Rhinolophus ferrumequinum: one gene and its partner. The protein of the gene in region 2 purifies or fractionates together with the protein of the main gene of each other region. This does not show direct contact. Links are inferred from orthologs where the notes say so. Each region holds a gene or a part of one and is shown on either strand. Other genes may lie near its edges.

Region 1 (9,693 bases), on a different chromosome or scaffold from region 2:
TGACGTCCTTGTGACGTGGGACCATGCTACAATGTTAACTCCATGGACTCTGCGACCAGAAGACACCACTGCCTGGACTCTCCAGGGGACTCCGTTTCTGGTCAGTGGTTCTAAATCCTCACCCCGTCATCCTGCTATCAAGACCTTTCTTCGTGACAGTAAGGAAAAAAGCGCAGATTCCTATCTCAGATCCATGCCTGCGAATCTAACCCTCACCACTAGGGTCACAGTTCTAAAAACGGCAAACTGTGTCTCAAACTCCCTCCCAGTCACTCTGACTCACTGAGTGTTTCAAAAACAAACGTAGAGAGCTGGAAGATACAAGAATCAGCTGCTAATCCTAGGAAGCTGACGTCTCTGTCCTCCTGCCCTGAGCCCAGGGACTGTGGCTGTGACGTACTGGTGTGAGCAGGGAGACTGAGGCACTGGAGTAAGGGTGAAGGGAGTGTAAGCTGGGAGTCAGCCAGCACAAGCGGGAGTTACTCAGGCTGCAGGACATCGCTGCTGGACAAAGCAAATCCAGATGGTTTAAGTCACGTGTCCCCTGCCACATCCGTCCATCCTCCCAGCCAAGACCATCTTGATAACCTCAAAGGGCCGCTCCTCAAAACCCTCCTCCCCTGGGGTTTTGGGGACTGTAAAGAGGCCAAGTCCCAGGCTAAAGCACCCCAGGTCCTGCCACAGGCCGTGCTCGCCCACACCTGTAGGTAGGTCTTGTACTCGATGAGCTTCTCGGTGCCGCGGTGCAGCAGCCCGATGTGAGGGTCACACTTGCGCACCATCTCCCCACTCAGCTCCATCACCAGGCGCAGGACACCATGGGCTGCTGGGTGCTGGGGCCCAAAGTTCAGGGTCAAGTTCGACACCAGTGTGTCCTTTGGAGGGTCCACATCTGAGAAGTGGGAAACAGTTGAGAGTCAAGGGGTAATTCCCTTGAGAACCCCCACGAGACAGCAAGGAGTTTCCCGTCCCTACAGGTCTTCCATCTCACCGTGCTGTACCGTAAGTACCCTAATCTCCACGGTGACCAGGAAGACCATGGATGGGAAAAGGGGGAAGGGAGATCTAAAGTGATGGGAGGGACCATGAACCCCCTTTCTCCATGTCGCCCAGAATACCTTTTGGAAAGGAACAGTAATAACAGATAACATTTATATAGCCCTTATCGTCTACCAGGGACTACTCTAAGAACTCTGCTTACTTTCATTAATTCTCACAACAACCACAAGTACTAGGTACTATTAGTAAGCCCATTTTATTGGTGAAACTGAGGCTGGAGAAGATAAACGCTTTCTCACAGGGCTGGTACACGGCAGACCCAGCACAGAAGTCGGCCTTTCAGCTCCAGGGCCCACACTCTTGACCACTAGGATACACTATCCTCCAAAGGTATCTGATGGACGGCCAACCAATCAGGACATGTATTGTAATTCTTACCACTACTAATGACAGTTCTTACCCTGAAGAAGCTTCCAATTTCATTTGGGAAATAAGTACATGTGAAAACTAGTAACACAGGTCAAATTTACAAGGTACCAATGAAGTGGCTTAGCCATCAATGTTTAAAGGAAGGAAAGAACAACAAAAAATGTTAAAAAAAAAAAAAGAAAAGAAAGAAAGAACAGTGTGAAGACTCCATGGAGGCAGGATCTGAGCTGGCTCTTAAATACAGGAATGATTCTGAGAGACAGTGAGAAGAAGAGACACCCAGGCTATGGGATCCACACGGGTCAATCTTAGAAACGAGGAAGTATCTTCCCTGTCAAGAGGCAGAAGATTAGTGACGGCAGGCGGTGGGGACAGTAGCATCACTAATAACAACACTAAGGGAGACACACAATGTGCCAATCGCTACAGGAAGTGGCTTATGTCACTATCTCATTTGACCCTCACAGTAACGCAATTAAGTGGGCACTTCATTCACTGCTAAATGAAGAACCAAGATCTGAGACCAGAGGCGAGCGTTTCAACGCAAATTCTTCACCATGGACTCTGGAGTCAGACGGACTCAAGAACAAATCCACCTGTGCATCCTTGATCAAGCTGTACTCTCCCTGCACCAGAATTTCCTCAAAATTGAAATAATACTGGTGTCACTTCCCCAAGGCCTGCAGTAAGGACAAGTAAAACAATGCATACAGACCACTTGGTGCATGGTAAGCACTCTGCTGCTTTTACTATTAAGTTTTTGAAAAGTAACTGAAGTACCTTTGAAGGTTTTTGAGCATGAGAATGAATGACACGGTAAAATGATTTGTTGGGGACGCTGAAGGCGGGTGACACTGTATAGGACAGCTGCAGGGAGAGCAGATCAGTGGCAGGAAGCCAGGGAAGAGACTCCTGGAAATAATCAAGGTCTAACACACAGTAAGTCTGAATAAGAAAGAGAGAGGTGACTAGATGTGAGACATTAGGAAAGAGCCGCGTGGTTTGGTGATTTGCCTGCACACAGACATGGAGGGCAGGAGAGAGAACAGAGCCGAAGGGTGACTAAAAGTCTCAACTCTGAGAGAATGGCAGAGCCACTGATCATAACCAGAAAGTCAAAAGGAAAGCTGGGTTTTGATGGAGTAAGAAATGTTTGTATTCAGGAAGTCATTTGGGTTGCCAGTGGGAAAACCACCCTGTCTAGCAAGGGAGATGGAAATATACTGAACCTATGGGAAAAGCTGAAGCTAAACATAGGAATTTGGTAGGGACCTCCGAGGGTTGGCTGTGACCTACGCTTTCTTTCTCCTGGAATGTTCTTCCTTTCCTTCTCTACTTGACCAAATACTATTACCACTATCATGTTTGTTGACTTGCATGATGAAAACAGAAAGGGTGGGAACTAAAACTTGCCTAAGATAGAGCACTCAAGAACACAAAAATCAGGTTGGGACAGGGGCTCTGGGCACTCACCATTCCAAGGTGGAGGCTTCCAGTGGGCTGTTTCCTTGGTGGGGTACATGACGGCTCCCCGAACTGCTCTGCCCACTCCACATCGGGCTGCCACTGCCGAGCACCTCTAGGGAGTTAAAGAAGACACCAAACACCGGCCTGAAACAGTGCCTGTTCCGTTCGCATCCCCTTAGAGACAGGCAGACACCAGGTGAGGCTGCCTGGGATTCCTCAATGCCGCGAACCGACACACAGTTAGTGTTGCTTCGGCACAAGCTGGAACTCCACAGGTTCCACTCCTAACAACTTAGTCCCAGAATCACTTCACCTATCACCCCCTGTGCACGCAGGCTGGGATGCTGGCTCCTTCAAATCCCCGCCCTGGACAACATGAATGCAAGACAGGTGTTGATTCAAGGTCAACTGATGTGAGAGAGAGAGAGAACAGACGGGGTCCTTGGCTCAGCTCAAAGACGGCCCGAGTGCCGCACTGGGAGTCTCAGGGTCTCAGTTTGCGCTCCTCATCGAACCCCATCAGCGGGCTTTCCTCTTGGCCCACAGCGTCTAAGGAGAGCTTCACCAGTCGCACCCCACCCGTGACGGGGTTCAGAAGCAAGAAGAGCATAAGGCAAGGTGACACCTGATTTCACCCGGGCCGAAACCAGCTCAAGACCCTCTCCCCTCCGCCACAGCGGGGCGCCAAGCACCTGGATGGAGCCCGAGACGGCAGGCCTGGGCGAGGGTTTCACGGGCCCGGGTCATTCTTTCCTAGGGGGCACAGGGCCGTGGAGTCCACAGCCTTGGGGACAGCGCGTCGACGGCTGCCCCGGGCCTCACCTGCTGGGCTCGAATAGGTAGCCGGCCCAGCCCCTGGCCGCAGCACCTGGGCCGTGACGCCCCGCAGGCCGCACAAGCCCTCAGCGCCGCCATCTTGCCCGCGGCGGACGGTGGGAGGAGGGCCGGGCGGAGGAGTTCCGCCGCGCACTTCCTTGTGGGCTTCTGGCCCGTCGGCACAAATGCGGCCCGCCATCTTGAAAGCTGGCAGGGTCGCCGACCTGAGCCTGACAACATCCGGGTTCTGCGCCTCGGCTTCACTGTGGCTCAAATACCCGGGACCTAGGGAAGCTGTTCCCACCGCTCCTGACCGTCTTTCTAGGCGTTAGCCGGCGGGAACTTGCTACTCGTGCCGGGGCAGCCAGGCCCCTCGCGCGCCCCTCACCCTTGGACTGTGCCCGCTCCCCCCCGCTTGGCCGCCCCGGCCCTCCTGGGTGGCCCCAGGCTGTGCCAATTACCTCCCGTTCCCGAAGCCAAAAGTTTCGGAGCAGGGAAAGCCAGCTAATTTCCAGATGTCCTAAACGGGTCAGGCAAGGGGACCCAAGTGGGGCCGGCGGGGTCTTAGCTCCGCCAAATAAAAGGAAAGAGGAGGAGGCCTAGGCCCCCCGCATGGGAGCGGCCGCGGGGCGTGCGGGGGGGGGGCCACCTCACCCCCGAGAGGCCGCGGGCCTTCATGGGTGACCCTGATGTCCGCCAGGCTCCCAGAACCTGCAGAATTGCAGCCTCAGGAAGCGCCCTAGACATGCCTCACACCCCACTTCATCCTGGGTCAGGCCCTCCCCTCCACTTTCTGACCCTGACCCTGACCCTGAGCCTGCCTCAGTCCTGGCCAGTGCCACAGAAATGTAGTCACCACCAGGAGTCGGAGCCCAGTTCTGTGCGGACGAGGCAGACTTTTCCAGCCTTGGAGGCCAGTTCCGGTTCTCTGCCTCTGCCTCCAAGCCCAGCTCCAGCTGGGCCACCCGTTGAGTTTGCGGTCCCTCCCACTCGCACTCCGCCTGCCAGAAGCCTTCCCCAGATCTCCCCCGCACAGGGTCCCCGGACCCAGCCCACCGGCGGTGCAGCAGGGTGGGGCAGACAGACCCAGGAGAGTGGCACCCTGGGAATTCTCAGCTGTGGAGAAAGAGGAGAAAGCCAGACTTTTAGCGGGAGTTGACCTAATGGGAACAGTGCCAAAGCGCGGGGGTCATACCTGGCTCTGGGAACCGAGGGGACCAGGGTGGACTGGGCAGCCCCCTTGCCTTCCTGCCCCGACTCCCCACCCTCCCCTGGGCCTTGTCCCCCTCTGCATTGGAGCTCAGTAAGTGTGGGTGATGGTGACTGGGGGGGGGGCTGCATTTATTTGCCCTAATCCTGCCTGAGAGAAGTCCGTCTAGACTCGGGCCTGCTTGGCCCTGAGGGCGACTTGAGCTGGAACGAGGGTGAGGGCCTCCTGGGGGGGCTGCCGAGGACAGGGCATCTTTTGTGCCTTCTCCCTGATGCCAGCACCCCCCCCACACACACTGCTACTGGCAACTCCAAGGCCCTTTGTCTCTCACTGCTTAGTCACCCCCCTTTGTCCTCTTCTCAGATGGGGGTGGAAAGGGGCAGTAAGAGTCCTCGTGACAGCGCCTCTTGCCCCTTGCCCCTTCTGGTCTCCCATCCTTTGTCTAACCCTCCACTTAGGACCAGGGTCAGGGCACCAGGCAGTCACAGGGGGTGCTGGACACAGGAAGCAGTGGGCACTGGAGCAGGTACTAGTGGACCTGAGCAGGAAGGGCGGGGGGAAAGGAAGTGTCCTGGTGGATATGATGTGGGGTGCAGGAGGTGACAAGGCAGAAAGCGAATAGACAAATGGGGCAGGGGCAGGTGGTCGGTCTCCGGGAAAGGAAGGGGACTGCTGACCAGCACTCCCCTTCCTGGGGATATCCTGAGGGAGTGGCCTGTAGCCTGGGGGGAACAGACATTGCCCCTACTTCTGAACCCTTTACTTCCTTGCTTGCGAGACTATCCCCAAGACCTCTTTGCTGAGTCCTCCTCCAGTCCAGAACTGACGGAGTCATTTTGCTTCCTTTTCCCAACACCACCTCTTCCTCCCTGGGGCTCTCTCCCATCTCAGGCACCGGTTCCTGTTTCTGTTGCTGCCTAATTTCCCTGTATTCACAATGCTGCCTCCATCCTCTCCCTGTCTAAGGGAAATGAGAACTAGAGGATGACTAGATATTCCCAGAACGATGGGTTCTCAGGGCAAGGTGGAGCCAGACTTGGGAGCTAAGTGGGGATTCCTCAGAGGCCCGGCACTGGGTTGTGTCTGGGTTCCTGTGCTGGGTGGGCTGGTGGGAGGCTGGAGGAGGGCTCTGGTTAGGAGCCGGGTAGGAGAAGGGCCAAGAGCCCTGGGGGGAAGCTACTGGGCGCTGGGCCAAGGAAAATGGGGAGTCAGGAAGTGGGGAGGGGGAGCCCTGAGGGGAATGGAGGCGGAATGGCTGTCCCAGGCTTTGGAGGGGCAGATAGTGGTTACTCAGTAAGGGAGAGCCTGAGTGAGAGAAGTTAGAAGTGGTACCACCCTGGACCCTCCTCCTGGGAAGGGAAGTCGTTACCCCTCCTGCCTGGCATGGCCTCTGCCCGTTCCCAGGTGTGCCCGTTTGAAGCTGACATGCCCTACCTTTGGGCAGTTTACTCCCTGATCTCTGCCTCCTGCTGGCCTGTCTCACACCCTCCTGCACTCTTTCCTGCTGCTGGGTCTCTGGTCCTGACAATGCTGAGCTAGCTCCTTTCTTTGTTCACCCTCTTGAGGCTTCTACCCTCTCTCCTCAGCTCTGGAAATCAGCCCCTAGGGGCAGAGGGCAGCCTGAGGGAGCCCCAAGAAAAGGGAGGCCATACCAGAATTCTCCTGGGACCTTGGTCCTTTCTGTGCATGTAGGCCAGGCCCTTTCCCGGACTTCCTACCCTCCTGGGGCTCTGTCTACCAAATAGGGAGACAGCTGAGAGCTGGCTGTGGGGTTTGGGCAAATGCCCTGTCATCAGCTGGCCCAGCGCCTATGACCCTCCATTCGGCTGCTACAGGCCCCCCTCCCTGGGGCAAGTCCCATTTTTCTCAACGGAAGACAAAAGCGAGGTTTTTGGGAAGGAATGAGACACCCATCTGAGTCCTACCAACAGAGCTGCTGGCTGAATGGCTTCCAGCTCAGCCAATCACAGCGCCCTCAGGATGCTTAAAGAGCTGGGCGGGGAGTGTGGGAAGAACCCACAGGGAGACCCGCAGACACATGGACGGGGAGAGAGAACAGGAAAGAGACAGAGACAAAGGCACAGAGGCGAAGCCAGGGTCTGAGGGCGTACAGAAGGGGAGGCCAGAGAAGCTGCAGAGGACGAGGGTTAAGGAGGAGCCAGGCCACTAGGCACCTCTCCCAAGCCAAGGGCTAAGTCTTCCCTGCCTTCTCTGAAGGTCCCCAGGGGCCCTCTACCAAACCCTGCCCCTGACCCCGGCACTAGGCCCAGCCCCAGGCTGCAGAGGAGCTTTGCAAAGCCAGAGCGTGAAGACTGGGTGGCCGGACAGCCTCAGGCCCTCCCAGCACAGCCAGCTGTGCCATGTCCCTGACAGACGTGCGCCCCGGGAGGCGCTTGGCCGACTGCTGGCTGTGGGGAAGCCGCTCCCGTCCACAGCTCCCCACACTGCCCGCCGTCTCGGGCTGGTGCTGCTGCTTCTGCTGGTCTCCCTCCTGCCCTCAGCCCAGCCGGCCCCCTCCCCCGGGAAGAGGAAGAGATCGTGTTTCCAGAGAAGCTCAACGGCAGCGTCCCGCCTGGCTTGGGCATCCCTGCCAGGCTGTTGTGCCGCTTGTCTGCCTTTGGGGACACGCTGCTGCTAGAGCTGGAGCAAGACCCGGGTGTGCGGGTCGATGGGCTGACGGTGCAGTACCTGGGCCGGGCACCCGAGGGGCTGGGCGGGGCCGAGGCCGGCACCTACCTCACCGGCACCGTCAACGCAGACCCGGAGTCGGTGGCATCTCTACACTGGGACGGAGGGGCCCTGTTAGGGGTGCTGCAGTATCGGGGGACCGAACTCCACATCCAGCCCCTGGAGGCGGGCACCCTGAACTCTGCCGAGGGCCCTGGGGCTCACATCCTACGCCGGAAGCATCCTGTCAGCGGCCAGGGCCCCATGTGCAACGTCAAGGCTCCTCCTGGGGACCCCAGCCCCCGCCCCCGCAGAGCCAAGGTAGGTCACCCTGGGGTCCGTCCGGCTGAGCCCCGGGTCCGCTGGGCACCACTCTTCCTCCTTGACAAGCCTGTCTTGGGACAGCTCTGGCTTCTCCCTGCCTGCCCCTGCTCCTGGCCAGTCCGCTGACCCCAAGGAGGGTTCCCTGAGGTGGGTCAGAGGCTCTGCTGGGAATGAGCCGTCCCGCCCCCCCGCCGCCCCCCCAGCCCCTGCCTGACCATGGCATCCTGCTGCCATGGCCCCTAGCTACAGGCTGTCCTAACAGCCCCTTGGCCTTGACTCTTTCCTGTGTCCACATTTGATTTTCACCCTGCCCCCCGACACACACACCCAGCTAAAGAAATGAGCGTTTAGGCCCAAAGGGTTGGCTTGTGGTGCTGCCTTCTAAACTGTCCTGGCCACCTGCACACCAGGGCAGGAGTGCCCAGGGAGGAAAGGCGTCCCACACGCCGTGGTCCGTCCGCTCCCACAGGCACTGATTACGAGGCTGCCTGAGGCTCCATCCTTTACTCCCCCCACCCCCAGCTTTAATCCAGACCAGACGCTCCCCACACCCGCCACGCTGAGATCTGGCCCGCGCCTGGCTGCTGACTGAATTGTTCCTCCACCACCACACAGGGCAGACACGTTGCGGCCCAGCCCTCAAGCCCCAGTCACACTCAGGCCTGGGGGCCCCAAGGCCCCTCCCAGCAGCTTTTCACCTCTGGGGCCCAGGCGGCCCTCTCTGGGACGTGGCACCCCCTTCTCCTCCCCTCTCTGAACCAACAGCTGTTTTCTCAGTTACCACATTTTGGGGTGGGGGAATCAACAGGGTGTGCTCAGGGCCAGCTGGCTCTGCTGAGCTCCAGACCCAGAAAGAAGGGGGGGTGTGACCCCTGGTGTGGCAGGCAGTCTCACGACCCTCTGTCCTCTCTCTCCTAGCGCTTTGCTTCCCTGAGTAGATTCGTGGAGACCCTGGTGGTGGCCGATGACAAGATGGCTGCATTTCACGGTGCAGGGCTAAAGCGCTACGTGCTGACAGTTATGGCAGCTGCCGCCAAGGCCTTCAAGCACCCAAGCATCCACAACCCTGTCAACTTGGTGGTGACTCGGCTGGTCATTCTGGCGCCCGGCGAGGAAGGACCCCAAGTGGTGCCGAGTGCTGCCCAGACCCTGCGCAGCTTCTGTGCCTGGCAACAAGGACTCAACAGCCCGGAGGACTCTGACCCTGACCACTTTGACACAGCCGTTCTATTTACCCGCCAGGTGAGGCCCTGCCAGCACCACAGGCCACACACCGCACGACTCCCAGAAGCACCCTGTGGAAGGATTTAAACAGTGCCCCTGGAGCCGTGCAGGGTGGCGCCTGGCCTGCCCACACCACTGACTCTGTCTGGGCCCCGACAGTGCCCAAGTCCCCACTGATCTGGTCTCAGCCCAATGGACTCTCGTGTCTTGCTCCCTCATTTATCTTCGATGATCCCCCTCCACAGGACCTGTGTGGGTCTCCACCTGTGACAGAAACCCTGGGCATGGCTGACGTGGGCACCGTCTGTGAACCCAGCTCGGAGCTGTGCTGTCCGTGGAGGATGACGGGCTCCAGTCGGCCTTCACCGCTGCGCATGAGCTGGGTAAGGCGGGGGTGGGGCCATGGGACGTCTGGGATGGATGATGGGTGTCAGGTGAGGTGAGGGAAAAGTGAGCTCAGCAGGGTGCAATAGGGGTTACAAGCCGTTTCTTCTTCTTCTCTTTTCTTTTTTTCTTCTTCCTCATCCCTGAGCCTAGGTCCAGGGCCATCCTTCTCT
Region 2 (10,392 bases):
CTTTAGAAGGGCAGGACTCTAATGCTACCTTAACAGTTTACTTGGTAATCTCTATTGTTTCCTGGTTTTGTTTTCCAATGCCTCCAAACACTCTGAATGAATTTAAATATTGCTAGAGATCTTGCCTCTTCAGAGAACATAAACTAATATTTCTAATACTTCAACAAATACAAATAAAACAATCGATGCACATCCACCTGTCCCACCCAAGCTGAATCCTAGCATTTGTGCTCTGTATTTCATTCCTGTTACCTAGTTATGCCAATCATTCATTCCCTTTTCCTTTCAACTACACCCTGCCTACTGCTGCTATTTGGTCAAAATACAAAAACACTGTAGTCACCACCTTTAAAAAACACACACCATACCCAAAACCAACACTTCCGTTATGACTAGTTTCCTTCTTTTAAGTTAAGCTTTAAAAGAAAATGATCTTTTGATCTGGATGTGATATCTCATCCAGAGGATTATATCTCAACCCAGAGGACATTTTTCAGGCTTTATCTGAACTCACTACAGCATCTGATGCTGAGGACCACACTCCAACATACCTTTAATTATGTTTCCCTTTGGTTTCCATGCCATCCCTCTCCGAGTTTTCCCTGTCTCTCCAGTGATTTCTTCTTTGTTTTCTTTGTGGACTCTTTCCCTCAGTTGCCCCTTAAATACTAATGTGCCCCAAGTTCTGGCCCAGGCCCTCTTCTCACTCTATAAATTTCCTAAGTAATCCCACGTATTACCGAAACTTCCATTACTACCTATATCTTAATTACTTTCAAACCTCATTTCAAACCTAGAGACTTTCAGACCCCTTTCTCCTGACTTCCAGACCCCAATTCCCAAATGCCAAATAGGCATCTCTGCTTGGGTAATTTACAAGCACTTCAAAATCAACATGTCTAAAACTCAACTTATCCCTTTCCTCTGAAAACCCAATTCTATCCCCATATTCCCTATCTCAGTAACTAACACCACCCACTTCCCATACCCCATTGCAAAACTCAAAGCTTCTCTGATACCATGTTATACCTGACATCTCCCTCTCCCCCTCACTCATTACATCCAACCAATTACCAAATCCGATCAATACTGCCTCCAAAGTCCCTCTGAAAGCCATTTACTTCTCTCCCAGTCACTAAATCAATTCCCTATTATGAAACAAATCTAACATCACTTTCCCACATGAAACTCAATAACTTCCCATTATCATAAGGATAAAACCCAAATTCCTTAGCAAGACAAGTAAGGACCTTCAGATCACCCCCATCGGCCTCACTTCTCCCAAACTCATCCCTTACACTTTCCCCTAACTGTTGCTGAACGCTAACCATTCTCCAAAGGTGTCACATATTCTCCTACCTTTGCATTGTAACTTAGGCCTGAAACACTTTCCCAACTTCTTCACTTTCCAAAACACAAAGCTCCTCTTATCTTCCTATTCCCAGGAAGATCCTCCTTCCACTCCATAGACAGTTTTATTAAGATTTCCCTTCTGATTAATTCAACAATTCTCTCTTGATTAAAACAAACAAACAAACTCTTAGCAAATTGGAAATTGAAGAAAATGTCCCAAATGTGATAAAAGTATTTTTAATCAGCAACCATATCGTTTTATTATAATTAATGCTGAAACATCAGAAGCATCCTATGTAAGGAAATTACAGGATAGAATATCAACTTTCACTGTTATGCTAATACTATAGACAACACAGTAAAAATTAGGTATAAATATTAGAAAGTAAGAAAACAATGTAATTCTATGCCAATGATATGAGAATATCTTTAGAAAAATGAGAGAATGAACTGAAAAACTAATAAATAACCTAGCAATGTGAGTAGCTACAATACAAAAGTCACACACTTTCTGACATATTAGCAATAAATAGTTAAAAACTCAGGGTGAAAGAGATCCCATAGCAACAACCTTCCCTCTATCTCCCAAAAATTCAATAATACAAAGAAGTTAATTCTCCTCAAATTAATCTATAAATTCCAATTCAGCTACACTCAAAATCCAAACAGGACATTATTAAAGAACCTGACAATTTGCCTCAAGTTCATCTGGGGGAAAAAAAATGTGTCACAAGAGCCAAGAAACTTTTGAAAAGAAACAGAGGAGGCAGTAACAGATATCAACACACATTATAAAGTTCTATTAATTAACATAGTGTGATTCTAATGTAGAAATAGAAAGATAAATAAACAGAACCAATAAATCCATAATCAGAAACCATCCCTGATCCTCCAAATCTCAAACAGGGCCCCCAGATACACTCGCGTGCCTGTACTTCTCCTCCATAGACCTGTGAGTAATCGTGTACTTATGATTGCTCATCTGTTTAATGCCTGTCCCTCACAATACTATAAGCCGTGTGACAGCAAGGACTTAGGTCTGTTTTGATTATCACTACGTATAAAACACTTCTGCCAGGCATTTATAGATGGATTTAAATATAAGTTCCCATTCACAAAGTATTCTGTAATCTTGCTCCTTTTACATATCGTATCTGAACATATCCTTAAAAAACAAAAACGAAAAAACCCAAATACAACACTAAAGGAATCCCTGAGATTAGAACATACCTCAATTCAATGACGGGCGAGAAAATAGTATCAAAGCTCCCCTTCCGTAATTTAAATGGCAACCACTAGAAGTACCTTACCAAGTCCTACAAATTCTTAAATAACATCAAATACTTCACACAGTTGCATTCAATCAATACTTAAACGAGTCTGTTAGAATTTCAGTAAATAACCAATGAACCAAGGCATGTGTGTCTTGCTCACATCACTGTATTCTGGTTACAACTACACTGACGTTTTTACACTTGCAGGGCATCTCACTCTTTTACTATTTGCCACACTTTTCTTGACCATTTTCCTGGAGCCCCCAAAAGTTAAATTATTTATTTTCTTAATTAAAGTACACATTACCTGCACGGGATCTTTGGAATCAACATATACGTCTTTTAGTAATGACAGCAGTTTGTCATCTTTTCTAACAATGTCTCCCTTAATATCTGGATGAGCTAAGGAAAGAAAAAGAATGTCACAATATTAAAACCAACGAAAATTCTTCTACGATCCTAAACAATTAATACACGATACTTTTACGTTTTAAACAAACTATCGTTTGGGCAGTACGGAAAATATTTCACAGTAAATCAAAATACGGATTCAGGCTCGGCCTCCACCGTTCTGTGCAGACACCTAAAGAAACCTTCCGCTGCACACGATCCCTTCTCATTCTGATTCCCTCGATCAAGCAGCTAAGCGTTAAAGGCAAAAAGCCGGCTTGAACCGGACGGCAAGGGCACAGGTCTTCATCTCTGGGACTACCGAGAAAGCAGAGCCGCCGACTCCATGGCGAGCGCTAGGGGACGGGCTCAATGTCACCGGCCTGGTGGCTCCACCGTCCCGCGCTCGGCGGACCGAGCCCCTGCGGCCGACCCGCGTCACCCCGACCACGGCACCGACGTCCGCCGGCGGGGAACTGCCGAGCCGGCCCCGAGATCCCGCTCGCCCGGCCCCGACGCGCCCTCGCACCACTCACAGTTCATTTGCTCTCGCAGGAGGCTCTTGGTGGAGGGGTGCCTGGGAGCGGGGGAGGGCTTCATCTTGCTGATTTCCCGTTCCGCCCGGTTCTCTAGGTTGAAGTTCCTGATTGCGCGAGCCACCGAGGCCCCCATCTCCTCACAACATGATGCCCTCAGTTAACAACGCACGTGGGAAAATAGCCGTGTGGGCCACCTCCGTAACGAACCGAGCATGCGCACGCCTGGGGTCGAGCGGGTCGCGCGCCGGAAAGCAGGCGCTAAATGCGCGCCGTTTGCCCCCTACCGGTCGGGAGGGCACACGCCGCATCTCCGCCCAGACTGTATCCGAGGGCGTCCTGCCTCCGGGTCCAGCGACGAGTTCTTGCCTGCGGTTACTGCCGGGGGAGGTAGGGTGGCTCAGGGCTCAAATCCAAGGATGGTGTCACCTCTGGAGACTCATTGAGTCAGCAGGGGAGCTTTAAAAGAGTTACCTGCCATGCAGACTTTCTGATTTAATTCCTCTGGAGTGAGGCCCTGCATTGGTTCAGGCTTCCCACGTGATTCCAAAGTTGCAGGCTGAGTAGGGAAAAGTCGTAAAGGAAACTGACCTTGAAGTCCTTTCACGGGTCCATGCAGCGAAAGAGGAAGCCAATAAAAATGGAATTGCATCAGGATAAATGAAGGTCCGAAAATTGCTCTTTCCTGCTCTTGTGAAAGGAACGCAACGAAATGTATTCATTCTCGATGAATATTTGTTCTCTGTCACTCTGTTATTTAAATGCCCCTTATTTTCTTGTCCCCTCTCCTGCTTCATTTCTGAGCCACGGTGTTCCCTTTTTCCTAGATCTTTTACATCCCGCTGTCATAACTCATTTGACCTAATTTTATCGATTTTAGTTATGCTGCCCTTTCCTTTCTCTTTGTTTTTGGTACTAATTTGTGTTATTTCTTCACACTATTAAGTACTAAATCACCGCGTCATTCCCGTTTTTCCTGCCTTCCTCATTCCTTTTAAGCGAGGGAGCGGAGCCCTCCATATAACTTAATGAAAGGAATAGCCAATATGACATTAAAAAAACAAACCAAAAATACCGAGTTGTTCTCTCTTTTTTTCTCTTATTGTTCTCCACCCCTCTCCCCCAATTCTGAATGGATTACTGTGTTTCTGATTTTATTTAAGATTCTTTAGAAATATTGTCATTAATCCATGATACCAGGAAGTAGCAGGGTTTCCAAAGTTACAATATTTTTCACAGACTGGCTGCAAATCGGTTTTTAGTGTTCCCAGATCTGCTTAGCAAAATGAAGTTGGTTGTTTGTTTTTAATTAATTAAAAGCAAGTACAGAGTCCATGTAAAGATAATCAAAGTAACACATTTTTTAAAAGAATCAAAGTAAAGAAAGGGCAGTTTTATTTAAAGAAAACTAATATAATTAGTAAATATATTTAATCACAGCAAAAGTATTACAAGGAGAGTTGCTTCCACCGTTGATTATCTGAAACGTTTTTACTGGGCTAGTTATTTGGATTTTACAGAGGCTAAAACCAGTGTTCTCTGGTAGAGTTAGTTGGGAAGTTATCCTGAAGGTGGCAGGCTACTCCAAGATTTCCATCTGAGACAGACATGCTCCTAACTTGGTGCTTTTTCAGCTAAGTATTCATGTTTCCACAGGTGCCAAGAAATTTTCATCTGCCTCATTATGTCTGTGAGCTTCAAAAATTGTGGTAATAATTCCACTCACTGCCTATTAAAATACTTTGAAAGTGAAAAATTCATTCTCATAGATATTCCACCACACTTCTGGCAGCATGAAAAAGTAATGTTAGATAGAAGTTACAGGAAATGTAGGTTGCTGTGGGGATTACTGCATGAAAGAATTCCTTGGATTCCCACATTTAGGTAGAGTTTGGATTCCATATTTATGGAACATCCAACCGGTGCCAGCTGCTTTGCCTGGTCCTGCCTGGTGCTGCGCAAGCCTGCAAAGAACAGAACAGAAGGCAACATACTCCACCAGAAATACACAATTGGCCATCACCCCTTGGGAATCATCATGGAACTAAACCCTGAACCACAAATGCATAATTCTAGCTCCTCTTGTCAAAGCATGTGAATTAACAGGAAGTCTGAACTCAGAACTCCTGCGCTTATGTTAAGGGTTGAAGTCAGGTCCCCAAGGAAAGTATAACTGGAATGCTGCTCAAAATCAAGCGTCTCTCTGAGCAGAGTGTTTTGGTGGGTACAGATTGCTGAATATCTTACGGTACAAATAAAATAAACCCAGGGTCTTGTCAACACACTAGAATGTAAGTTCTATGAGAAAAGGAAAATTTGCTTTGTTCACGGCTGTCTCCATCCCATTGAACAGTGGTTGATACCCAATAGGAACTAAACAAATGTCAAGTAAGTCAGATAAACCCAAAGACCAGCCCGGCCCCTGAGCTGGAGTCCAGACGCTGAATACCAGCCCCTCCACCAGAAGTGAATCCTTATGACTGTCACTGTTGAACATACTTTCCTCATCTTAAAATTGGGATGATAGTTTTAATTATGTAATGGGTTTCACACCATTTAAAAGATAAAGTGTCTACTACAGTGCCTACCTCAATATGATATTCAGTATTTGTATTGCTTTCTATTTTCCAGAGGAGCAGAGAGAAGTTTGAAAAAGAACCAAAGATATTGTGACACCCTGGTCTATAGCTGAATGAAAAGGATAAAATACTTAAATATCTGAAAGTAAAGTAAGACCCATGTTCTTTAAGAATTTAATTTAAAAATAAGTATTCCAAATTTGATTTTTATATACTAATTTGTGTGCTCTGCACATGGTGGCATTGCTGGACTCATGAAGGTCAGAATTTGGGTGGGAATTATTAGCTCAGGGGCACAAAATGCCACCTGCTCTTACCTGGCATTGGCAGCAGAAATAGTCCCTAGCCGGTCGCCTCCGTGCTTCCCTCCCTCCTCCATCTTTCTCTCTGTGCCTACACTGTGACCTTTGCACACTCCTTCCCCTGAACATAATTCAACAGCATTCTGTATTCTCCAAAGAATTGCAATCGCTAAACCTAGGTGACTGGTGACTCAAGGAGCCCAGGACAGCCCCTAGAGATTTCACTGACCAAACCCCAGCTACTAGTGGGCAGAGGAGCAGACCGGGGAGGAATGACTCATCCTGGCAGAGAGCGCGAGGGCCTGGACTCCAGCTCAGGAACCAGGAATGAGTGAGAGTTCAAGTGAGGTCATTTACAACGTTCCCAGGCTTGACCAGTTAGTTACACAGTGGTCAGTGTTGTAGGTTTGTGGAATATTTGGGGAACAAAAACCCAAAGTCCCAAACCAAAACAAACTAGGCTTTGGGCAGATCCCGTATTCATATTGAAAGACACCAGGTCTCATAGGTAAGAATTATCAGTCAGCAATTTATACCCAGATGCCTGCTTTGTGGCTACTGCACTCATGACTTTTGTCATTGTATGAGTTTCCTATTAGTGCTAACAAATTACTGCAAAACAGTGCCTCAAAACAGAACAAAATTATTACCTTATATTTCTGGAGGTCAAAAGTCCAAAACAGGTCTTAGGAGGCTAAAATCAAAATGGCTGCAGAATTGTCTTCCTCCTGGAATCTCTAGGAAAAAATTCCTTGGGTTTTGCTTTGTTTTTTTCTGTTAGTTTTGTTTTGTTTTTTGGCTTCTGGAGGTCTGCAACACTTCTTGGCAGCCAGTAATTGTATAGCTTCACTGTCATATCTTCTTTTCTGACTGTGACTCTTCTGTCTCCCTCTTTCCCTTATAATACTCTTGTGATTACATTGGACCTAACATAAATCCAGGATAATCTCCCCATCTCAAGATCCTTAACTTAATCACATCTACAAAATACTTTTTGCAGGTTTTGGGGATAAAGAGGGAAATGTTTTTAGAGGAGCATTATTCTGCCCACCACAGTCATCATCTTGAGAAATTCGTATCTATCAGTGTAGCGATGATATGTAGTAAAATTCAAAGAAAGAACGATGGAGAGAATGCCTACTATTCTTCATTCAGCCCCATGGAGCTTATCTTCCAATGAAACTACCTAATTGTTCAAAGAATAAAACCGTCTTGCTTGGGCAATAGTATTTCAGGCTTTGCCTAGGAGCCATAGTAGCTCACAAGTAAACTGCTGCTACTTCACCAGATCTATGCACTGCACAGGGAGGCAATTCTTCCTATATCCCCAACCTCTCGTCCTCCTGGAGCACCTGTGTCTGAGAAGCCTCAGTGAGCAAGAGTGTGAATGTCCCTTGTATATAAAGCAGCATGACTAGTTTCCCTAATTACGGCATCTTAGACGTCTTAGACCAGAAGCCTACCATTTTTCTTACTCTTCTTCCCTCTCCATCATTTTCCTCTTGGCTTAGAATTTTACAATCACCCACCCATTCCTGTCTTTGTGTTAAGATTGTTTTCCTCTTCTCTGCCTGTATCCACCTTTAAAAGGGAAATACTCCTGGGGAAAGCAAGCCATTTGTGGAAGAGTTTATCAGTTTTCTGAACTCATGGACTGGAAGAAGATAGCTGTCTGAAAACAGGAAGAGAGAGGGGGAAAGTAGAAGCTATTGGGGAAAAATGGGAGATGAGAGAGAGAGGAAAAAAGGAACGAGAGACTAGAGTCAGAGGCAGAAAAGGGCATCTACAGCCCTTTCACGTCTGAGGAGGCTCCTTACCCAGCTCGTCTCCCTACAGCTTCTTCTGTTGACATTCTCCTTGTACAAACTATTTAAAAATAAACATCATTGAAAGAAATAATTATCAAAACCTGTGGAATACAGTCAAAGCAGTATTGGAAGAAAATGTATGTGTGTTTCTGTTAAATACATTTGTTAGAATACTGGAACAATTAAAGGTAAATGAATTTGAATTAGGCATTCATGTCAAAACACGAGAAAAAGTGTATCAAAAGAAATCCGAAAAAAAATGTTTAAAGGATTGAAGATAAATCAGAAATTAATTACATAGAAAAAAACCCCACTTACCGTAGTTCTTTGGAAATATAAAATCTGACAGATCCAAGTAAAAAACAAGGCACAAGTAAAGCCCCTTCGAATATTTTTGGAAAGACATGATCACAAATTTAGAGAGTCTTTTTTTAATTGAAAGAAAATGATATAGACAAGTTTATATACAACTTTAATATATAAACTTGAGTGACTCCTTGAGTGACTTGCTTCTAACCAATAGAATATAGCAAGTGTGAATAGAATAGAATAGAATAGAATAGAATAGAATAGAGCATAGATATAGGACAGAAGACAACATAGAATAGAATGTGGTCACCCTCATGATTATCTTATGTCAGATAAGACTCCGTCTTAGGAGACACGACAGAGTCTCCTACTGGTCTTGATGAAGCAAGCTACCATATTGTTACTGGGTCTTTCAGAGGCCTCTGCAAAGAGGCCACATGGCAAGGAACTTCAGGGCCATTTAGGACATGAGAGCAGCCCCCAGGTGACAGCTACAAGGAAATGGGTATCTGAATCCCACAACCACAAGGAACTGGATTTTGCCAACAGCCACATGAGCCCGCAAAAGGACTTCGCACTCTAGAAATTAATACAGCCCCATCAATACTGTATAATCATTTCAATTGATTCACAAAATATAGTTGCTTAAATTCAACACCCATTACTAATAATAGACTTAACCCGCTAAGAATAGAAGGAAAAGGTCTTCACTTGATAAAGAGTACATATCAACAAATCATAGCAAATACCATATTAAATGGTGAAATGTTAGAATCAGGCCTAGGAAAGCCAGTGCTGTCCACTATTGGCCTTATTCAACCTTTTGCTGAAGGTCCTAGCTAAAAGAACAAGAAGAGGAAGTAAGAATGATTCATTCTTTTGCAAAATCAGTAACTCTGTCTTCCTAGAAAATTTGAGAAAATCATTCAAAGAACTATTAATATTAGAACTTATAAAAGAATTCAATGAACCAGCTGTCCTACATATCAGTTAGAAAGCATAATGGCCCCAAAAAACTTCCATTGATGATGGCCACAAAAACTATTATGCACCTAGAAATAAACTTGAAAAAATTTGCAAAACCCAAATGAAATAAACCACAAAATCTAGGAAAATAGAAAAAGAAACACATGGCTAGATCTACCAGGTTCCTTCATGCAGAGTCAAGAATGTAAAAATGTCAATTCTTTCACAAATTAATCCATAAATTTGATATGCTTTCAATTGAAATTGTAAAGTGAAAAATGACAACAGATACTAAAGTTCATCTGGACGAGAAAATGAAAAAGTAGGCAACTAATTTTTGAAACAACCATGAGGAAGTACTTGCCCTGTAAGATATTAGAATGCAGTTTAAAACTTTACAGTGTAATCTTGATTCAGTAATTGGTAAATATATCAGTAAATATGATAGTGCCAAGATAGATCTAATTATGTATAGAGTGACATTTAAAATCACCCTATGATGATATAAGAATCTAACTCCTCCCAATCTCGAACAGATAGCCAAATTTTCAACCACATTTATTTACCCATCTGCCATTTACCCTTGCTCTCCATTCCAATTTGTCACTTGGTTCCTCATCTCCTTTCTTGTCTCCAGTTTTCCCTGCATCACATAGCTTTCATAATTTATTTGTCCCTCCACATCCCCACATTCTTGCTTTTTATAGAAGTAAGGAACATTTCATTATGGCTTTGTTTTGGTTTGATTCCAATGACGTAATTTTGTTCTGTTCATAGCAATTTAATCAGTACAATAATTCTCCATCTTGGCAGCAGCTATAGAAGGTACCCCATAGTTTGGCAAGGAAAAAAATGTGAAAAGTTATAAAGAACAA

What was found.
Region 1: the proteins of NDUFAF4 (region 2) and NDUFS2 purify together in Homo sapiens (co-immunoprecipitation; 3 studies listed by BioGRID and IntAct, with this or other methods). This does not show direct contact. The link is inferred for Rhinolophus ferrumequinum from reciprocal best matches to the Homo sapiens genes NDUFAF4 and NDUFS2.

What each region holds. Positions count from the first base shown.
Region 1 is NC_046305.1:2,348,668-2,358,360, reverse strand, and holds the start of NDUFS2 (NADH dehydrogenase [ubiquinone] iron-sulfur protein 2, mitochondrial), read right to left. Parts: upstream 3,967-9,693; 5' UTR 3,952-3,966; coding exon 3,718-3,951; intron 3,008-3,717; coding exon 2,902-3,007; intron 893-2,901; coding exon 702-892; intron 1-701. UniProt on the Homo sapiens protein: Core subunit of the mitochondrial membrane respiratory chain NADH dehydrogenase (Complex I) which catalyzes electron transfer from NADH through the respiratory chain, using ubiquinone as an electron acceptor. Essential for the catalytic activity of complex I.
Region 2 is NC_046286.1:52,016,312-52,026,703, forward strand, and holds the start of NDUFAF4 (NADH dehydrogenase [ubiquinone] 1 alpha subcomplex assembly factor 4), read right to left. Parts: upstream 4,003-10,392; 5' UTR 3,690-4,002; coding exon 3,554-3,689; intron 3,030-3,553; coding exon 2,935-3,029; intron 1-2,934. UniProt on the Homo sapiens protein: Involved in the assembly of mitochondrial NADH:ubiquinone oxidoreductase complex (complex I). May be involved in cell proliferation and survival of hormone-dependent tumor cells. May be a regulator of breast tumor cell invasion.